2 linked regions of the Astyanax mexicanus genome follow. The protein of the gene in region 2 binds, or shares a complex with, the protein of the main gene of each other region. Links are inferred from orthologs where the notes say so. Each region holds a gene or a part of one and is shown on either strand. Other genes may lie near its edges.

Region 1 (10,936 bases), about 110 Mb from region 2:
GCCTTAATTAATGCAATCAACAAACATTATGAAAATGGTTAATCTCAAATATTTTACAAAACTCCCTGCAAAAACTAAAACTAAAACTAAACTGCAATGTTAGGTTTCAATATTATGTAAAACTATTGTTTTATATGTTGGTTAAAGAAGTTAAATATTAAAAAAAAAAAGTTTGAACGTGTATTTTTTAATGAAAATCGATTAAAAAAAATCTTATTGAACCTTTACCTGTTAGAGGGTAGGAACAGCATTGCACTACATATTAAATATATTGATAATAATTAGTAATGGATCAGATATCTTTTGGATATTTTAACATGAGAAACACCACTGCTAGATCTGACAAACGAACATAAATAGAAGGGGTTAAATCACAATAATTCATCCGTCGAGCAGAACGAACAGTAAAACGTTTGCATTTTAATATCGACATTTCATATGAATATTTTCTGCAACAACAGGTTGACTTATTGTGACTCAAATATAAGATTTCTGCGCCCAGGCATTTACTTACATTATGGGATGTAAACAGAGGTTTTTAATAAACTTTTAGTGCAGTTTTTAAGTTATTAATGCCTCGTTTTAAATGTCAAAACTCTCTGGATTCTACCAGTGAAGTGTGGAGCTACTTTGAGCTGAATAACGGTGTAAAAAGTGATTTATCTGCAGGGTAAAATATGCCCCATATCACTCATTCAATTCTAAAGCCTGTTTGGGTAAAGAGCAGAAAATACTGGATGTCAGAAAGCTGCAGGAGAGCGGAGGAGAGATATTCAACACAGTTCTCCTTTAAAGTAATCCAAAGCATTTTGGCTCATTATTTGCAGACTCTTTATTGAAACTGTCCAGTCCACCTTAAACGCTGCATCCATTTCAATCTGGTGCCTGAGGCCACCTTAAACGCTGCACCAAATCACGGCACTGTAGCTAACCACCCTGAACCTGGATAAAATATGCACTGTAAGAGAGTCTGGGTGGTCTATAAACAGCCCCAATCAAGTTACGAACAAATTCAACCCGTCCTGCAGGCTCAGGGTGCATCCGTGGCATGTGCGACCTAAATTCTCAATAGTGCAAACCTTTATTGTTTTCCTGTCTAAACCAATCAGAGCGAGTGAAGCGTGGAACCCCACTGTGATATAATAACATTTCAACCAAGGCTGTTTTCAACATAATTGATTAAGAAAACAGTGATTCATTTAGCTAGGAAATACAGTTAGCATCGCTAGTTAGCTGTTAGCCATCTTCATTAACACCAGCAGTCTGTTAGCCTAGCTAGCGCTGAACCGACAGCTGTAATTCAGTGATGTAATAAGTAACTAGCTCAAGTAAGAGGTGTGGACCTGTTTTTCTCCGTAAAGCTGCTTTGTGACAACTTTTATTTTTTTTACACACACACACACACACACACACATATATATATATATATATATATGATGTTTTTCCTTGATTTTACCAAATTAAAAACCTCTGGAATATAATCAAGAGGAAGATGGATGATCACAAACCATCAAACCACCAAACTGAACTGCTTGAATTTTTGCACCAGGAGTAAAGCAGCATAAAGTTATCCAAAAGCAGTGTGTAAGACTGGTGGAGGAGAACATGATGCCAAGATGCATGAAAAAACTGTGATTAAAAACCAACCAGGGTTATTCCACCAAATATTGATTATTTCTGAACTCTTAAAACTTTATGAATATGAACTTGTTTTCTTTGCATTATTTGAGGTCTGAAAGTTCTGCATCTTTTTTGTTATTTCAGTCATTTCTCATTTTCTGTAAATAAATGCTCTAAATGAGAATATTTTTATTTGTAATTTGGGAGAAATGTTGTCTGTAGTTTATAGAATAAAACAACAATGTTCATTTTACTCAAACATAAACCTATAAATAGCAAAATCAGAGAAACTGATTCAGAAACTGAAGTGGTTTCTTAATGTTTTTTAGAGCTGTATATAACAGTGTCAGAAAGATGGGTTTGCATTCTAGGTAATGGGTCTTCCGACAAGACAGTGACCCGTGCTCGAAGAGAGACGCATTCTGGTAGAGGGACAGAATTCACTTGGATCGTTCTACAAACCAATCAGTGCTGAGTATAGTGAGACTCCGCCCACATTCGTAGGTGATGTTGACAGGAGGTAGTAAAGTTTTTCAGCGTGTCAACCACTAAACTGCAGTGTGAAACCAAAACTAACGGGACGAACACAAGTTCGGACTACAATACAGCAGAGCTGTAGAAGAAGACTTTGCGGCACAGTTACTCTAGTTCTCCACGAGAGGTCGCGTAACACAGTTCCAGACACAGCGCCGTGGTTTCTGGGTGTTCCACGGGGTCGGGGTGCTAAAGGTCGGCGTTGCCACGGCGCCGGGGAACGTCAGCGATGGTATCTGCGGCAGGGTGACGGGTTCAGAGATGACTGGCGGAATCCTGAGGAGCACAGAGCTGAAACTGAGCTGTTTATAGGAAACGCTGAACTCTGGAACATCCCGATCTAAATGTCACTGTGTGTTTATTACACACACACAACACACATAGTATACACACACACTACACACAGAATAAACACACACACACACTACACACAGTATAGACACACACACTACACACAGTATACACAAATAAAAAAAATTAAAAAGCTATAAAATTTTGGTTATCAGGTTTCATTTCAGCAATAAAACCTACTAACATTAACACCATGATCTACTGCTCTCTCTCTCTCTCTCAGACTCCGGCTGCTGATGGATTTATAAACTCCAGTAGTAAGCACCGGTGGGTCCGCTATGTTCTAGAATCTCTGGGTTCTAATCCTGTGAGGTTTTGGTTCCATACCTTCCACCACTTCAGAACATCGCACCTTCGCCTTCTCCCTCATCATCTTCGGGATCAGCACGTCCAGCTCCACGTGCCTCAGGTGAGGCTCACCTGAGAAAACAGAACCGCCCACTAAATAACTGCACTGATTAACATACATGGCAGTGCTCAAAAATTAACACTGCAACTAAAATTCTGGTAAAATTAAACCATTGCACATGAAATTCTGCTAGAATTACCTTTGCAAATCCAATTTGCAATAAATTAACCATTGCATATAAAATTCTACTGAAATTAACAATTAAAAATGAAATTCTATTAAAATTATCCATTGAATATAAAATTCTGATAACATTTACTTTGAATGAAATTTTAATATGACCTACCTTTAATTATAAAACCTAAAAACAATTACTTAAAAAATAAAAGTTTATCCTACATTACCATAAGAACGAAACTCAAACACTTTGGCAGATTGTGTGGGTGTAATTTTAAGAGTGAGAGTGAATTTCTAACAAAAAATACTTTAAGAATGAAACTGAAATTGAAATTAAATTAACTTCAGAACTGAAACTTTAATTCAACAATAGATGTAATATTGCTAGGGATCTGATTAAACTTTGCAAATAAAATGCAGATTAAATTCAACTTTGCAAATTAAGTTCTGATAAAACTAACCTAAATAGAATTATAATATGATTAACATTTGATAATAAAGTTCTCAGAGACTTATTTTAAAAAATCTATCATTCATTAATATGAGAATGAAATTCAAACACTGGCAAGAGAATGTAATTTAAATCTGACACTAAAAATCAAATAAAATTATATTAACCAATGACATTTTAATATGACTTTTTTTCATTTTTACAAAAATGTTTTAGAGGTGTGCGGCCAATATAACAGAAACACCATGCGAGACACTCAAACAATAGCCATTTTTTGAAATTCTATTAAAATGAACTCCAAAACTTTAACGTAACAATATTTCCATATTGTAATTTTACTTTAAAAAATAAATGAGTAAAATTAACTCAAGAAATGTAATTGTAATTGGCTACATTACCAGTACGTTTAATACTTGGGTGGACAAAATAACAGAAACACCAAGTGAACGTGGGGGTGTTTCCAATATTTTGACAATCCCTTTTCTAGGTTGAAAATGACCCCAAACTGTCATTTAAACGGAGAATATGATTTTTAATTTATTTTAATAATAATAATAAAAGCTAAGTTGTCTAAACACTGCTGAACTCTCCGTTCCACCTTAAATGCTGCAGCCACGCTGTATGTAACTGCTGCACTATTTAAGGTGGAACGGAGAGTTATAACAGCTCAACAAGATTTATAAGGAGATATTTAGCTTTATAACAGCACACACAGGTTAAACTCGTCTTTATGACAGAAATAACTGATTATTAATATCAGTTTCATGTTTAAACTGTGTGTTTTAAGCTCGAATTCAGGCGATTTTCGCTCTTTTAGCCCAACTTTGCCCTTAAAGTACAGAAATGCTAACTAACTTCAGCTCATTTTCCCGCTAAATATCCTGTTTTCTCAGCAGCGCTGTGAAGAAAAGCAGCTCGGGTGATTTTTACCTGATTTAGAAGAGTCCATGAGCCTGTTAATAAACTAAAAACTGATAATAAATCAGAAAAACACCAACAAACACCAGACTTTAGCTTTAGCCGCGAGCTAATGTGACCCCGCTGCTGCTGCTCCAGCGAAGCCGCGCCCCCACAGTGCCACCAATAAAAGTCCTTCATAAAAGTCCTTTATTATTATTATTATTATTATTATTATTATTATTATTATTATTATTATTATTATTATATTTGTTTACATAAAAATAATCATTTATTAGAGAAATAAATAGTACATGTATATCAAATACACATATTAATATAGAATTGAATAACCGTTTGCAATGCGTTTTTTTTTTTCAAAATAAAAGTCACCCCTAAAATTCGTGACTAGAAAATTATATATTTTTCATGTTTTGAAAAATATTAAATTACAGCACAAATGTTTTTAGAGCTGGGAAAATGTTGATTTACTTAAAGAGAATTAGTAATAGAATGACTGAACTGAAATGCAGGATTGATGCCCAGTTAAAACGACTACAGTTGGTCGCTATGGTATCCCAGGTCATGGTATGACGTTTCTGAGTGGTTGCTAAGGTGTTGCCATGTGGTTGCTATGCTATCTGTGATGGTTGCTATGGCGTTGCTAAATAGTTGCTATGGTATCTGTGGTTGTTGCTTTGGCATTGCTAAGTGTTTGCCAGGTGTTTGCTAAGGTGTTGCCAGGTGGTTACTAAGCTGTTGCCATGGTTTCTGTGGTGGTTGCTATAGCATTGCTAAGTGGTTTCTTTTGGGTTGCAATTATGTTGCCAGGTGGTTGCTAAGCTGTTGCTATGAAATCTATGGCGGTCGCTGTGACCTTGCTATGTGGTTGGTAGGGGGTTGCTGAGGTGTTGCTATGGTATCTGTGTTGGTTGCTAGGGGTTGCTATGATATTAACATTGCTTTGCAAAGCGCAACCATAATAAATATTTTTTAAAAATCACAGTTTGCCGCACAAAATAATAAATAATAAATTATTTACAACCTGTTCAGCCATCACCAAGTCTTGGGATGTCTTAAGGCACATTCATGAAGACAGTTAAATTACAGTTCTGGTTGTTTAAATAATTTAATAAAAAATAATAAGATATTGAATAAGGTAGACAGTAACTCCAACTGTCCTGAAATCTGTTCAGATAGCATAAAGGATCTGCCTTATCTGATGTAAAGCAGCATCAGATGAGACTTGGTATTAGCCATGAAGAATTGGGCCAAATTTTACTTGCCAACTGGTGTTTTGATGCAAGCAGTTTGGGCCGATTTCCATATTTTATCCAATAGCCAGGGTGTTGGCACATACTGCTCAGGTCGATTCATATATTATACTCCACAACTGGAGTGTTGGCAAAAACATATTGGGCTGATTGCCATATTATATTCAGCAACCAGGGTGTTTGTACAAACCAGAGACTGTAAAAAAAGATGGACGCTGTGTCGCCGTTCCCGTTCATTCAATGAAAACGAAGCCAAAATCTTCCGCCATGTTGCCATACCCGAGACTGCACAGTAGAGTCCAGAGGAGGGAGAAAGACTGTGTAGAGACAGCCTACTCATTTGAATAACTCCGCCCCTGAGGGCTGCCTCGAGGTCACAGGCTGCAGAGCGGAGCGGAGCTGACGATCTGTTATTGGTCCCGCCCATAACCAGCCCTTTTACAATAACCACACCTTTTTGAATTGAGCTGAATAACATTTAAAAAACGAATTCTGTGGGGATATATACATTTGGCGATATAAGCAGAGCTTACACTAGCTGTTAGATTTAAATAATGGAGGTAGAATTACAGTATATTTGAAAAAAAGGGGTTAAAAAGCTTTCTGCAACCGAACAGCAGGGGGCGCCCGACCTGTGGTGGCTTCACTTTTGAGAGACAATGCTCTGTTCAGCTATACACAGTCTATGGTACAAAAGGCTTGGGCAGATTTCTATATTACACTCAGCAAGCTGGAGTGTTGTCACAAACATCAAGGGACAATTGCCATATTATACTCAGCAACTGGGGTGTTGACACATGCGACTTGGGATGAGTGCTATATTATAGTCAGCATTCAGGGTGTTCGCACATGCAACTCAGGTCGATTCATGTTATACTCAGCAACCAGGATGTTAGTACAAATGGCTTGGGCAGATTATTATATTATACTCGGCAATCTGGGTGTTGGCACAGACGACTTGGGACAATTGTAATATTATACTCAGCAACTAGAGTGTTTGAATAAACGTCTTGGGCAGATTTCTATATTATACTCAGCACCCGGGGCGGTGGATTGGGACAATTGCCATATTTTACCCATCAAGCAGGGTGGTGAAACATGTGATCGGGCCAATTATCTTTTTACACTTGAGTGTTGGCTCAAACATCTTGGGCAGATTCCTATATTATACTCATCAATCAGGTTGTTGGGACTAACAGATGTGCTGATTGCCACATTATACTCAGCAACCGGGGTGTTGACACATGCGACTCGAGCCAATTCTCTTTTTACACTTGGCAATCGAGGTGTTGGCTCAAACGACTCGGACAGATTCCTATTTTACACTCAACAACCGGGGTCCAATTGTCTTATTACGCACGGTAACCGGGGTGTTGGCTCAAATATCTTGGGATGTTTTTTGTATTATACTTAGCATGCTGGAGTTTACTATACTACAGTATACTCTGCAACCGGGGTGTTGGCATGTGCATCTCGGGTCTATTGCCTTATTACACTCAGCAACCGGGGTGCTGGCTCAAACGTCTTAGGATGAACATGGGAACGATTAAGAGTGGTTTTTGATATCTGGAAGCAGACTGACTGGAAATTGGGTTAAAATCAGTTATAAAATTGGGATTAAACCTCGGTTTCAGTACTCAGTACTCAGTACTCAGTAGAGTTTTACCGGTATACCTGGTGTTTTTGGGGGGTACCGCTGAGCATGTTCTGGTGTTGGAAACGGTTCAGGCAGCTGCTCTCTGCACCTGCTACACTCAGTCTACCCAACTCAAGACAGTCCCGACCACAGCTTCACTTCAAACCCGACCACGAGTCTGCGCGAGAGCCGTGCGAGAGCTCACCACCGCAGTGGAAAGAGCGCCGGAACGTTCCACCCCGAGGAGCTGCGGCCGGCCTGCGGTTACTCCTCCTCCTGTTTGTTAAATAAACCCTTTGAAGTGTCATCTTCACTATCTTCACCATCTTCACCAGCCTGAAGCCCTGTCCTCTCACGCCAATCTCTACACCGCATCACCTTCAATAAAATACACAATCAAATAAAAGTTCCACAGAGTTAAAATACAACGTGATGACGAGGTCCAGGTGTCATTTTGTTCCATTCTTCCTGCAGATGCATCTTAACCTTCTATGGCATGGTTATTACACCTTACTTCCCTTTCATTTTTATAATGTTCTTTTTTAAATAGAATGTGCCCACATGTGTCCATCCAATACAATATAGGGACATAAAATGATTTGAGGAGTTTTTCTTTTAGGAGTCAAAGCTACATTCAACATTCAATACCAACGAAGTGGTATATTAAATTATTATTTCTTTTACATGTCTCTAAAAAGTAATTGTGAGGGCCTTTGGCCAATACTTAAATAAATAAGTTATTTGAATTTGGTAGGATTTTTATAGTCATTTATTGTTTTACTGAGTTGTAGTGACATATAAAACATGGAAGTGGAAAGGTTGTTTCAACTCACTTTCCTGACTAACCCTAAGCTGACTAAATATATTCCATTAAACACTGAAATACAAAAGGGCCAGCAAAAAAAGAACAAATCCATGCAACGGTTTGTGATAAACTTTCTGAGTTCTGAGTGTCAACTACTTGAAGAATTACATTACATTACATTGACCCATATAAAGGTATTTTATTTAGGTATAAATTTAATTGTCGACTAATCGTTAATTTGCAAAAATACTGCATTACACAAAGTGCTGGGGACAGAAGCGCAATGGGAGATAAATGGGAGATTACATATTTAATCACTAAATATCAGTACTTTCCACATTTAAACAACATTCAGGTATTTAATGCTATTTAAATCTCATGTTCTGCTTTTTCTATAGAAATAATTGTTGACTAATCTACTAATCGAAACAAAAAAAGAATCGTCAGATTAGTCGACTACTAATAATAATCATTAGTTGCAGTCCTACCGTCAACAGATATTGAAAACAGATTATGAGTTAACTGCACAAGAAATCTTTAAGAAGTCTTTATTTATATAATTGAGTACAATATATTGTAATAACAATTATACTGTATTTAATTGTATATTAAATTGTAAACTTGTACTAATGCGCACTGCTTCAGGAACATGATGATGGAAAATCGGGGACGCTTCGGTTTTGCCCGTCCTCTTGAGGTTAATTAGGTCTCAGCTGGAGCCTCTGACCATCCGGAGGGTTCCGACAAAAGTCAAGTCCCTCCCGGCAGGTGAGGGTCTGCCACACCTGCCCACACACACTCACCTTCACCTTCATTTACCGCCTGATCCTCCCTGCCAGCAGGGGGGGTCAGAGTGCACCGGAGAATCTAATAACATCACATCGGCGACTCGTCAAAGCCTGCCAACATCTCCCCGGCGCAATATCCCGCTCCGGCGGGGTCCGGCAGGTGCCAGCAGGGTCCGGCAGGTGCCAGCAGGTGCCGGCAGGCTGGCACGGTGAAGGTTAGCAAAGTTAAACCCTTTTACAGCACGGCTCAGCGCCCCGGCCAACCGCCGACCGCCCAACTGTCCGGCAGACCCCGCCCCTCGTCCCCCTCACGCCACATGCTAAAGACGGTGCCCTGGCTCCGGCCCGGGCGGCACACAGATGGCACTCCCATCTTCCATTAAACCCTATAAGGATTCTGCTGAAGCGTTTGATCGGCCGCTCACGCGCTTTATTAATTCATGAGAACAAACCTGCAGCCGCACGCTCACGTTCGCCACCACCGTGCACACCCACTCACTCACACCTGTTCACACTCACATCAGATCTAATCAAACCTAAATAAATTGTAAAACTGGGTGTAAACCCACTGTACAGTCAGTATCTCCAGTAACTCTATGTAGTCACGCATTAACGATCCATAATAATCCATAATAACAGTGTAACTACCCGTGAAGTTACATTGTTGCCTTTGTTACAGAGTAATTACAGTTATACAGGTTTTTACAGGTTAAAAACTATTTACAATTACTACCTAATTACAGTTTCTGAATCAGTTTCTCTGATTTTGCTATTTATAGGTTTATGTTTGAGTAAAATGAACATTGTTGTTTTATTCTATAAACTACAGACAACATTTCTCCCAAATTCCAAATAAAAATATTCTCATTTAGAGCATTTATTTACAGAAAATGAGAAATGACTGAAATAACAAAAAAGATGCAGAGCTTTCAGATCTCAAATAATGCAAAGAAAACAAGTTCATATTCATAAAGTTTTAAGAGTTCAGAAATAATCAATATTTGGGGGAATAATCCTGGTTGGTTTTTAATCACAGTTTTTTTTATGCATCTTGGCATCTTGTTCTCCTCCACCAGTCTTACACACTGCTTTTGGATAACTTTATGCTGCTTTACTCCTGGTGCAGAAATTCAAGCAGTTCAGTTTGGTGGTTTGATGGTTTGATCATCCATCTTCCTCTTGATTATATTCCAGAGGTTTTTAATTTGGTAAAATCAAAGAGACTCTTCTTTTCTCTCCCATATTCTTAAATATTTTCTTATTTTATGCTGATATGTCATTTTTTTTTACCTGCGCTATTATTGTGCTTGCTATGGGCTTTGAGTTTTCAGTAAAGGCAATTTATTAATAAAACATTATTTTTATTATTATTATTATTATTATTATTATTATTTAAGTGTGACCAAACCTTCATTACATTAGTAAAGAAGATTTTCCATGTGTTTTTTCCATTATTTTTCCATGATTTCCATGTTAAGAACAGAGCAGAGCAGTATCAGAGGGTAATGACGGACGGAACCAAGCTAATACTCTGTGGGGAGTGCAGATTTACCCTGATCCAGAGTGAAGGAGTTGTCTCAGGGTTACCCATCATGCCTAGTCCTATCATACAAGCCTATGGATCTTATCTGATGGAACGCGAATATTCCAGGAGAACAATGTCTGGATTCATGGGGAGGGTTCAGGGAGCATAAGATCATCTTCCCATGGAATGTTTTTTTGAAGGGTCTTCGAGCGATTGGGAGATCGTCATTCGAATCTTGTTCATGCAGCTTGCCATCAGCTGCCGGAGCCCTGAGAGAGCACAGTTGTTCTTGCTCTCTCTCTGGGTGGGTACAGTACAGTAGATGGCACTCTTTCCTCTCATCACTTCTAAGGTGATGTGGATCAGCACAAGGCTGTGTCTGTGAGCTGATGTATCAGAACCGAGTCACTGCGCTTTCCCCTGAGTGTTGTAATGCTAATTGGCAACTCGGCATCAGCAGCAGTAATTGGGTTTTATTTATTTGGGATGAAATGGTATAAAAAGGCAAAAGAGAGAATATGTTTTTTGG
Region 2 (10,725 bases):
GCATTTACCTGACCCTTCATTCGGGTGTCGGGACTTATTTTCTTTTTGGGGACATAACCTCTGTTCACCAAGATCTTAATCCTGAGAGGGGAAAACAATGAGATTTACATTTTATATGATATACTATTGTGTCTGTCCTAAAGAGACTTCAAGACTTGACCCTTATTACTTAATCTCCATCTGTTGCAGCAGGATTAATGCTGTCATAGATGTATTTGCTTATTCCTAAAAGATGTAGTCACTTCTAATCAGTGATGGCAAAGTTACTTTGAAAAAGTAATCTGTTTACTCCTTTAAAAAGTAACTTAATTACATTTAAAATCAAGTAATCCATAAATTAACTAAGCTACTTACAAGTTAAGCACAGCCCTGCCGCCTCAACATATCAGTTTTGCCAAAACTCGTTTTGCTCCACCTTTGGGACTTTTTCTGTAAGTGTGCTGCTGCGACTTCAAATGTTTAATCAAATTTGACGTGTTTTTGAAGCTAGGTAGCACAGAGTGAACAACCAAGCTTGATATTGATTCATTTTAGCTGATATAAACTCAGAATAGTGTTTGTATTTCCAGCTACAAAACGTGCAACTCTCTCCTCACTTCAGTTAGCAGTGTTCTCAAGTCTCGCGCTTTGAGCGTGTGACACACGCACCTCAGCGAGTTCACACGCTCATACGCCACACATGGTATTTCTCACGCTTGCCAATCCATCCAGTATATTATAATGTACTCTTGTTGAGCCAATCAGAATATAGGTTGCTCTGTTGTTTTTGCTAGGCAGACCTAGTCAAAGAGGGTGGAGTTTCAGCCAGAGTGTGAAGAACTGTCTGATTCGAAAGTTCTGAAACACACGTCGGTGAACAACTGAAGTAGAACGGCGGCAACACCGCCCACTGCGCACACTGTGTTCAGCACTAGGGCTAGTTTTAGCCTGTTAGCTTGTTAGATCGCTAGCCTTTTGTTAGTTCCAGCAATGAACGTCGACTGCAAATCTTTCTCGTCCATCCTTTTAACACATTCAGCCAGATGCTACAATATCTTTTTACTAAGGAAAATGACAAAAACGTAGCGCACAGTGACTTGGGTACGTAACTTTAATCCTATTACCTGATAAGAAATAGCAAAGCGTTAGATTACTCGTTACTGAAACAAATGGTCAGATTACAGTAACAGGTTATTAACATCACTGCTTATAATAGACATCACTGGGTACTTGCACAATACTATGATTTCTCCTATAAGTACTGTCTGTGCTAAACTCGCTATATGCTAACATTTAGGTTGAAACTGCTGGCAAAGACTTTAAAATCTTGTGCATGTTGGTTTATTAGTGGGGTTACTTGTGTTACTTGTAAATGTATGTATTTAAGGCAAAAATGTCAATACAGGTTTATGCTGTATGTCTGTGTGTTTGTACACACCCAAGGTCTGTGCAGTTGAAAGGTGTGATGACGTTAGCTCCAGTCTCTCCACTGGAGGACAGCCTTCCTGCCTCGCGGGCCTCTCTCTCAGGGTCCACTGGAGAACGGGGCAGGATGTACAGCTCTTGAGAGTGATCAAACCTGCCACGCACCTTCACACGCCTGTACTCCAGATCCTTTAGCTCCATAGGACTGTCACATGATCACAAACAAACACAGGCTACATCAATACATTAATAATACAATCAAATATCCGTCATCACTGCCACTCTGGGACTATTCTAAAATAGGTAATCATTTTTTATGTGACTTTCTTTGTACCAAAAAATGTATGCACTATTACTAAGTGACTGACTCTCCAACTACATTGTCTACACCTATAGTATGGCATGGGCCAAAGAGGACACTCACTCCGTGGGCAGTGGAATCGGATCTGCTGTCGTTAATTTCTGGAGATCTTCAATCAACTTCAACTTCCACTGCCTGCGCTTCACCTACAAATATACATAAATACACATTCAAAAATGCAGTTTAAATATCTGAGCAACCACCATTTTAATCATGGTAAACAGCAGCTGAGCGTACCTGCCATGTTCCCAGGCCGAAGGTGGTCACAGGGATCAGCAGCAGCAGCCATTTCAGCAAGGAATCCTCACTCTTTTCTGCCTGTGCCGCATCCACACTGGTCTGTCTACTCACGTTAACAGGTTTAACTGTGAAACCCAACAGAAGATGAACAGACAGCTACTGCAGTGTTCATGAATATTACAGTTAATCTTTAGTATGTGTTGAAACACTGGTGATTCTTCTCTAGTAGTAAATGCATTTACTACAAAACAAAAAAGCATTAAACCAAGTATATGGATGCTGTAAAATACACTACTCATCCTGTCAATCAGAAGTATTGTCTCATTGCTTTTAAACATTAAGTGTAATTATAAGCTGTCCACCTTAATTTAGCAGACATGGCACACTTGTCAAAAGAAGCAGCAGAATCATAACAAAGAGTATAAATATTTTAGCACATAATATCAATATCAAATCAAGTGAAGTTTATTTGCATAGTAACTTTTTGCAACTGCTCACAAAGCAGTTTGTAGAGAAATCTACAAGTAATAGGACAAGAGATTAATAATTCATAAAACATAATATATAAAACAATATTCTTACCATTCTCACGTTTGAGCAAGACTTGCCTTGATTTATCGAAAATATTTCTCTTGGAAATGACAGTCTGAGTCTAGAAAAAGACAAAACAATCTGATTTACAAATACTGACAAAAGCAAATAATATACACTGACTAAAATGAGTGAAGAACAATTATTGCAAGCAATATTCTGATTCCAATATTAACTGGCCTTTGTCTTCAAATCCCACAGGCTAGTAAACAATACATTTTCTAAAATTAACTCTTATTCATTTTAAATTTTTGATTGCAATATAAACCTAAATAAAACAAATACAGTACCAGTCAAAAATGTGGACAAACCTCTTCTCATTTGATGTGTTTTCTTTCATTTTATAATTTTATTTACATTGTAAATTTAATATTGAAGACATTAAAGCTATACAGGAACACATGGAATTGTCTTGTAAACAAAAAGTGTTAAATAAACCAGGGTATGTTTTATACTTCTTCGATTCTAAGTAGACATATTCAGCTTGAGGACAGATCTGCGCACACAGTTTTCTCTGCATCTTGAAGGAGTTTCTGTTGGTTCTGAACAATAGTTGCTGCTTTTCCTTCAAACTGTAAAGCTCCAGCTCAGTTGGGTTTAGGTCAGGGGATTGTGAAGGACAAACACTTCTTTTGTTCACAACAGTGTAGAAAACATTGAATCAGAAGGTGTGTCCAAGCTTTTGACTGGTACTGTACTTTCAGTGCCTAAATGATTTACATTAATGATTTATTGAAATGATTTACAATAAGCAGCATAACTGTATTAAAGTATTTTCTGGTATTCTAAACTCAGCACCTGCACAAACTAACGAGACTGTCCAACAACTGCTGACTGCAGGATATTTCTGAACAGAATCTCAACACAAGCCAGAGCTAGTTTGTGCTTTTCCTGCGGTATAATTTTTCACATCCCTCTATCCCTCTGTTCTTACACCAGTGGTAACTAGCTTTATAATAATTATTATTATTATACGCTGCCTGGCCAAAAAAAAGTTGTCACTAAAAAAAGGACTCTGTGGTGAACAATCCATGTGTGAAAATGATGATCTCATGCTCCCTGAATCACTCTTTCACAATTCCAGCCCATGAATCCTGACATTTTCATCTTGGAATATGCTCGTGTCATCAGGAAAGAAAAAAAACATTGATGGAATAACCTGGTCTATATTCAGTATATTCAGGTAGTCAGCTGGCCTTATTCTTTCAGCACATACTGTTGCTGAACCTAGACCTGCAGACCAACTGCAGCAATTGAACCCCACATCATTTGCACATCTTTTTTTCAGCTTCATCCTATTCTGGTCTGCTTGGCCAGGCTTTTCCTTAAAGTAGTAGGAAATTAATTAATTACACTAGAATTGCAAATTTATTTGGAATGAATAAGTGATGGAACATATAGTATAGAAGATTAAATTGAATGACATGTTGTATATTTACAATGTTAGTAAACAGATATTCTGCTTTCCTTCATTAGTTAGTTATCTCCTTCAGTAATAGTGTATTAGACTTTTAAATAATATATGTGCATGTTCCCTTTAATTCAGTGAAGCGGTAGTAACGTTAGCAGCGAATAAGAAAAAAACTTCAGCCTCTCTGTCTTTAAACTGGAATAGTGTTTTATTATCAGTAAATAATGTTTATAAATGTGAAACAGAAACTTACATTAATCCGGATGATCCTGCGAGCGTGACTACAGAACATGAGCATGTATTTAAGGCCACTCATGTTCAGGAGAAATGTCTAAACTGAGAGTTATGCTGGATTATATCTATCTGTTTGGTGTCAGTAGTAAACAGGTCAAACCGCCTGCATAACATGTTCTCCACAGAGCGGCAGGCGAGGGGACGAGTTTCACTGTAACACCATCCGGAGACAGGCGTGTGCGGTTGCGCATGCGCGGTGTGAAACACATGGGCAGGAGGAGCTGTTGAGTTAGAGCAGTTGTTGTTGCAGAAACGCTGTTTTTAATGTTCAGATCGAGCGCAGATTAAGAATTCCGACCGTTTGAGTGAAAGAAGAAGGAGAAGTAGAAGAGGAAATGTGTGGCAAATCCTTTCTAATTATTCCCTCAGTGAGAAACTAGTTTAATAGCTGCCAGTAACTGCTGTGGGATATTGTGGGATAGTTAACCTAGCTGAGCTTGGCTTTGTGGAAGGTAAGTTGATCTTAGTAACTTAAATAAACATTAATCCAACGCTCTGCTCTTACTTTGTAGGGTCTCTGTGTTTAAGAAATATTATACAGTCATCTGTTTTCAACGTGTAATGTTAACCTAGCTAAGTGTGATCACACGTGGCTGATTGCATGATTGTGTTGTGTATTTTGTCCAGTTGCTGCAAAGATGTCCTCAAGCCTTGCAGCCAAGTACGACTACCTGGAGAAGCTGACTCGAAAAGTGTGCCATTCCCAGACCGAACAGACCAGACAGAGACCCTATGGTACGCTTCTATTCTTGTTTTGCAGTATGTGGTATGTGGTCATATATATACTCTAAAAATTCACAGCTCTGCATATTTGTGTGTTGTGCCTGCTTTAAATCACTAGTAGGAAGCAGGGAAACACACTGCCATAGAAAAATCACCTTTTTGTTTCCTAAAGAACTATGGGCTTTATGGGCAGTCATACACTGGCTACACTGGCTGTCATAAGTGGTTAGTGCAGTGCAGTGCATAATACCACTAACTTCCAGTAAGCTACCTACCACATTGTCTGGGAGACTGGGGTTCAATTCCCAGTCTGGGTGACTAAATGCTGTTCTACACCAATAAGAGTCTGGAACAAGACTCCTAACTTCTGCATTGGCCCACCTCTGTAATAGGAATAACCTTGTAAGTCGCTCTGGATAAAAGCATCAGCTAAATGCCGCAAATGTACATTTTAGAGCTTGATCATGCAGATTCATGATCTGTTTTTAATTAGTTTATATAATTAGTAAGTTCATAAACCTAAATATTTTGGACTTCCCATCTTTTTTTCCACATATCTCATTCACCAGCCATTCTTAAGAAGAAATGTCTTAAAAATGACTTATCCAGCTTCTATCAAAATACTTATAATTATCTCTAATAGCAATATTAAGCTGTTGTTAAATTTATCATTACTGTTATGCAAACCATGCACCTTCAAAATCTTAACATTCAATGGAAGTAAATATAAAAAAAACATTACTAATTATTTTGAAGAATGTTGTTGGTCTATTAAATAGGACATTGTAACACAATGTAATTTGCTTGATTGACTGTGATATACATACGTTAGTGTTTTAGAACTTTGATCTCTCAAGGTAACAACAAACATTTACATGTAGTTCCAACAGTGACTAGAAAACAAGGTTAGACTGGTTGTGGTAAGAAGGCAGTTGTCAATTTTTCTCCTCTATAATGTTTTTCCATCTCAACTGTCCTGCTATATTGTAAGAAGACAGGGTTATACATTAAGAAATAAAATGTTTGGCATTCTTGTCTGGAAGAGATCTGTCTAAAGTCGTAGCTGAAGTCAAAAATACCTTATTCTGTTAAAACATTTTTGTAACAAACTGGGTAGCCATTGAAAAAAATGGTCTGACTCTAACTTTGCTCTCTCTAACTGCTTTCTAATGCACCCTGGTTGCAAAGACAGGCAATTTTGGCTTTATTTCTGTAGAACAGAAGGGAAGAATGCACAGCATTCAGGTTGTCTGCAGTTGTTGTTTCTTGAGTATATTTAACGAAAAAAAATTAGAACAGTTAAGTGAATTAAGAGTCAAGCTTTATTTTCCAGCTGTTATTAATTATTCATTATTAATTTATTATTCATTCCTCTGTTATTTATTTTCAGTTCCATTTCGTGCTCGTAGTGGTGGTGACGAAGATGGTGACAGTGGGCCACCTAAGAAGAAACAAAAGAAGAAACAGAAGCAGATCAAAGGAAATAATGTAAACACAAATGATAAAAAGCCAGCCCCAAAGACCATCCAAAAAGCAGCACAGAAACAGCCCATCACAGAACAGAAAGCTCCTCAGGCCAGAGTTCAGAATGGGAATCAAGCCCAGAAGAAGACACATGGTAAGTCAAAAGTGTGAATTTGAATTGATCCAGAATTATTTCTGAAGCATAACAGAATTCCAGTATCTTTATTAACACATTTTCTTTAATTCCTCAAGGCACAAAATCAGAAGGCGAGTTTAATGCAGTGGATATTTTAAGGAAAAGACTTCATCAGAAGATTGAGGAGTCTCGTGGGCAGGTACCAAAATAAACACACAAACCCCCTAATGAATTTGTAGGACATGATGATGTTTTGCTTAAACTCACTTTGTTAGTTTTTTCAAACAGATTAGAATTTACCTTATTAAAGAGGATTTAATATGCAGAATTAGGAAATGTTTTATTAATGATTGTAAGCACAAGCTGTGCGTTTACACATTTTTTTATGTCATCAGCCCAAATATGAGCAGATCATGAGTGTGAACAGCTTTCAATTATCTTTAGTAAAGTAAAGTTTACTTTTTGCTCAATCAAAACAGACTACAACACAGCTGTCAAGTAGGCAGGGTTTAAGCACAACACTAAATGAACCAATGTCTGCCTCCATTCTTTACATTAATTAATGATGAAGAAATTCTGTTGTTTTGAGCATTTATACTGTATAGAAATGCAAAATACTGGGATTTCTTACACCCCTAATTTTCCAGTACTCTGGTATAAATAACTTGTATCTTTTGCTTATTGTAAGCCTCTTAAGTCTCTTATTTTCTCACTTTAGGGTCCACCCAAGGACCCTTCCTCAGAAGAGGTGCAGAAAAGACGAGCGAAACGGAAACAGGAGAGAGAGCGCAAAAAGCGGAAAAGGAAAGAGTTCCGTATGAAAGCGTTGGCGCAGAGTTCTACCACTGAGATAAAAGAGGAAAGCGAACCGGTGGAGATAACCACACCTCAGTCTGAACCTGCTGAATCCAAATCTGACAAGAAGGACACAAGCACCTTGGTCTTCAACAAGGTGGAGGTTGAGGATGATTATGTGGATAAAGGGACCAAGATGAGGGAGAAGAAGAAGAAAAGGAAAGTGAAAGGAACCCTCACTCCCCTCATAGGGAAGAACTACAAACAGCTGTTAACCCGAGTAGAGGCCAGGAAGGCCCGTCTGGAGGAGCTGCGGGAGAAGGATGAAGGGAAAGCAAAGAAGGAAGAAGAGAAGATGAAGTGGACCAACGTTCTCTACAAGGCTGAGGGGATGAAGATCAAAGATGATGAACAGCTTCTACGGGCTTCGCTGAAGAGGAAAGAGAAGATGAAGACCCAGAGGAAGAAAAAGTGGGTGGAGAGGAGCGAGAATGTGCTGGAGAAGATGCAGCAGAGACAGGACAAGAGACGCAGGAACATTCAGAAACGCAAAGACAATAAAATGGAGAAGCGGCAACAGAGAGCCAGGAAGAAGGGCAGAGTGCTGCCTCAGGATCTGAAAAAGGCTGCTCTGTAGAGATTGATATAATGGAGAAATTGGACACGTATGGACAGAGATTGAATAAATTCAGGAGCGTACTTAGAAAAGGATAAAACTATAAAGAGCATGAATCAGAACGGTGATGGTGACTTGAACAGAACAGTACAAATGGTTCCAAACAGTTCAGGAATCTTAACTTCTAATGATTGATTTATACTTCTGTCTTCTGCAAGTTAGCACAGAGTCTACTGTGTAGTTGTGAGCGTTTATACATGTGCATAGGTCTGTCTGCAACACTCTACAATGTTCAGCTGAGCAATTACAATTGCTGTATTCTGCTGTTTCTTGGGAGGTGCATGTCCAACTACAACATAGGCTATTTGTAGGATATACAAAAGGTGTGTAGTGTTGAAAATAAATTGGTCTATACTTTTACTAAGGTGTGCTATGTCTCTGTACAATTAAATGCAGTAAAGTAAATAATGGAAAACCCGTTTGCCCTATTTATTGCACAGCTGCTGTTTATTTGCTTAATTTAGAGCACAATGGTAAATGTATAATGAAGTGCTGAATGTACAAAGTTTACAGTACATTTCATGTTGTATGTAATTCTTGTTCACTCTATCTAAAATCAACAGGACATTTTAGTAAACTTAATATTATATACATTACAGTGTCGGCTCAAATTAAACCATTTAAAATGTTTAAATGGCTATTAGCCTGATTAAAATGTTATTCTCATAGGTGGGAATAGACACTTTTGTATAAGATATTTCATGGACTCTTTTAAAGAAAGAATTGCTGTTGTGTATTCTGAAAGTATTTGTATTTTTTAATGTACTATACAATACATTGTTTTTATAATACTAATTATATTGCAAGTTTATCATTTTTTTAATCTTGAATATGAATCTAAAAATGACTTCTTCCACAGACAGTGATATCTTTTTGTTTTGTAAGGATAAGTAAAACATTTACGGGTGCATCTAAAAAACATTTTTACTTTATTTTAGTAATTCAGTTCTAAATGTGAAACATATTATATAGTTGTATTACACACAAAGTGATCTATTTTAAGCATTTATTTCTTTTATTGTTAATCATGGCTTACAGAAAATTAAAATATTATGTAAGACCAATTGGTACTTTTGGCAGTGTGCCAAATCCTGCTGGAAAATGAAATCCGCATCTCCATAGAAGTTGTCAGCAGAGGAAATCATAAAGTGCTGTAAGATTTTCTGGGAAAACACTGCACTGACTTTAGACTTGATATAACACAGTGGGCCAACCCTAGCAGATGACCTCTCCAAACCATCACTGATTGGTGGAAACTTCACACTAGACCTCAAGCAGCTTAGACTGTGTGTCTCTCCATTCTTCCTCCAGCCTCTGGGCTCTTGATTTACAAATTAATGCTAATTAATTATGCTAAATTTACTGATGATCAGTGATGGTTTGGAGCGACATGTCATCTGCTGGTGTTGGTTCACTGTGTTTTATTATCAAGTCTAAAGTCAGTACAGTGTTTTCCCAGAAAATCTTACAGCACTTCATGCTTCCCACTGCTGACAACTTTTATGGAGATATGTATTTTATTTTCCAGCAGGACTTGGCACACTGCCAAAAGTTCCATTTGGTCTTATATAATATTCTAATTTTCAGGGCCCAGTTTCCCAAAAGTATTTTGGCATTAAGAACATCTTAACATAGTGCTTAGGGTGAAGTTTAAGAATCATCTTAGTGCTAGGAACTTTTTTTGAAAACCCCAGTTTATTTAAGTAACTGAGGAAAGAATCTGATGCCTCCTTTGTCTTCCAGAATAAAGCTCAGTAAGCATTATTTTATTCTTTCTGTTTAGAGATGTGAAGAAACGCTGAATGCAGCAGTGTTTAATCATTTTATACAAACAAATGTGCTAATGTGTCTCAACACAGGACTGTCAGTACCAAAGACATCATTTATAAACCTGACCAACCAGTAAGCTCAGTAACTAGTAATGCTAGCTTAAAATCCCTTTACTGAAGAAAAGTAGAAATATATAGATATGATTACTTTGCCTTTTTTTTTTTTTTTTTTTTACAAAATACATTATTCTATTGTCCAACAATTAATTAATAATTGGCTGTTGGATATTATATTTTATTTGAGGTTTTAGTCCTTTAGCCTCCTTCACCCCCATTCATTTTGGACTTACTCGCGGGCTCCCTCCAGCGGTTTTAGTCGTTATAGATATTAGGGCAAGGGTTAAGTAGTGGACGGGCTCTCCATAAACCAGCTCTGGCTCTACCGCATAGATACGTTTACTCCGCCTCTACAGGCAGATCTGCGTCCAAATCCAAATACTGCGATGGCAAAGAACCTTTAGAGAGGAGATTACCCACTTAAGAACCTTTCAGAGGGCGTTCCTGAGTAAGCTCAAAATGAATGTGTTCATATGGAGCAATTGAACAAAATTAGTTTATACTTGTTTAGTAATTTATTAATAGAACATGTATTCACTGTTTGAACACAGAACAAGGTCCAGTGTTTTAACACTGTAGTATTTGTTTTTAAAGCTTTTAAATTCTTTTTATAAGCCTTTTAAGCATGCTTAAGTAGTAAAATGCTGTATCTGCATCTACTTGAGTATTATTTTTACTCTATTACTGTACTTAAGTACTAAAATGCTGTATCTATATCTACTGGATTATTATTTTTACTTCACT

What was found. Proteins that work in one complex are often made in the same cells at the same time.
Region 1: surfeit locus protein 1 (region 2) and cmc1 share a complex: the UniProt entries of both Homo sapiens proteins name them as parts of the MITRAC (mitochondrial translation regulation assembly intermediate of cytochrome c oxidase complex) complex. The link is inferred for Astyanax mexicanus from reciprocal best matches to the Homo sapiens genes SURF1 and CMC1.

What each region holds. Positions count from the first base shown.
Region 1 is NC_064408.1:130,759,883-130,770,818, reverse strand, and holds the start of cmc1 (COX assembly mitochondrial protein homolog), read right to left. Parts: upstream 4,556-10,936; 5' UTR 4,432-4,555; coding exon 4,413-4,431; intron 2,926-4,412; coding exon 2,833-2,925; intron 1-2,832. UniProt on the Homo sapiens protein: Component of the MITRAC (mitochondrial translation regulation assembly intermediate of cytochrome c oxidase complex) complex, that regulates cytochrome c oxidase assembly.
Region 2 is NC_064408.1:16,896,767-16,907,491, forward strand, and holds the start of surfeit locus protein 1, read right to left. Parts: upstream 4,451-10,725; 5' UTR 4,324-4,450; coding exon 4,261-4,323; intron 2,658-4,260; coding exon 2,588-2,657; intron 2,131-2,587; coding exon 2,003-2,130; intron 1,912-2,002; coding exon 1,829-1,911; intron 1,610-1,828; coding exon 1,418-1,609; intron 82-1,417; coding exon 9-81; intron 1-8. Other genes in the region: surf6 (surfeit locus protein 6), read left to right, coding at 4,940-5,036, 6,415-6,642, 6,741-6,823, 7,343-8,056. UniProt on the Homo sapiens protein: Component of the MITRAC (mitochondrial translation regulation assembly intermediate of cytochrome c oxidase complex) complex, that regulates cytochrome c oxidase assembly.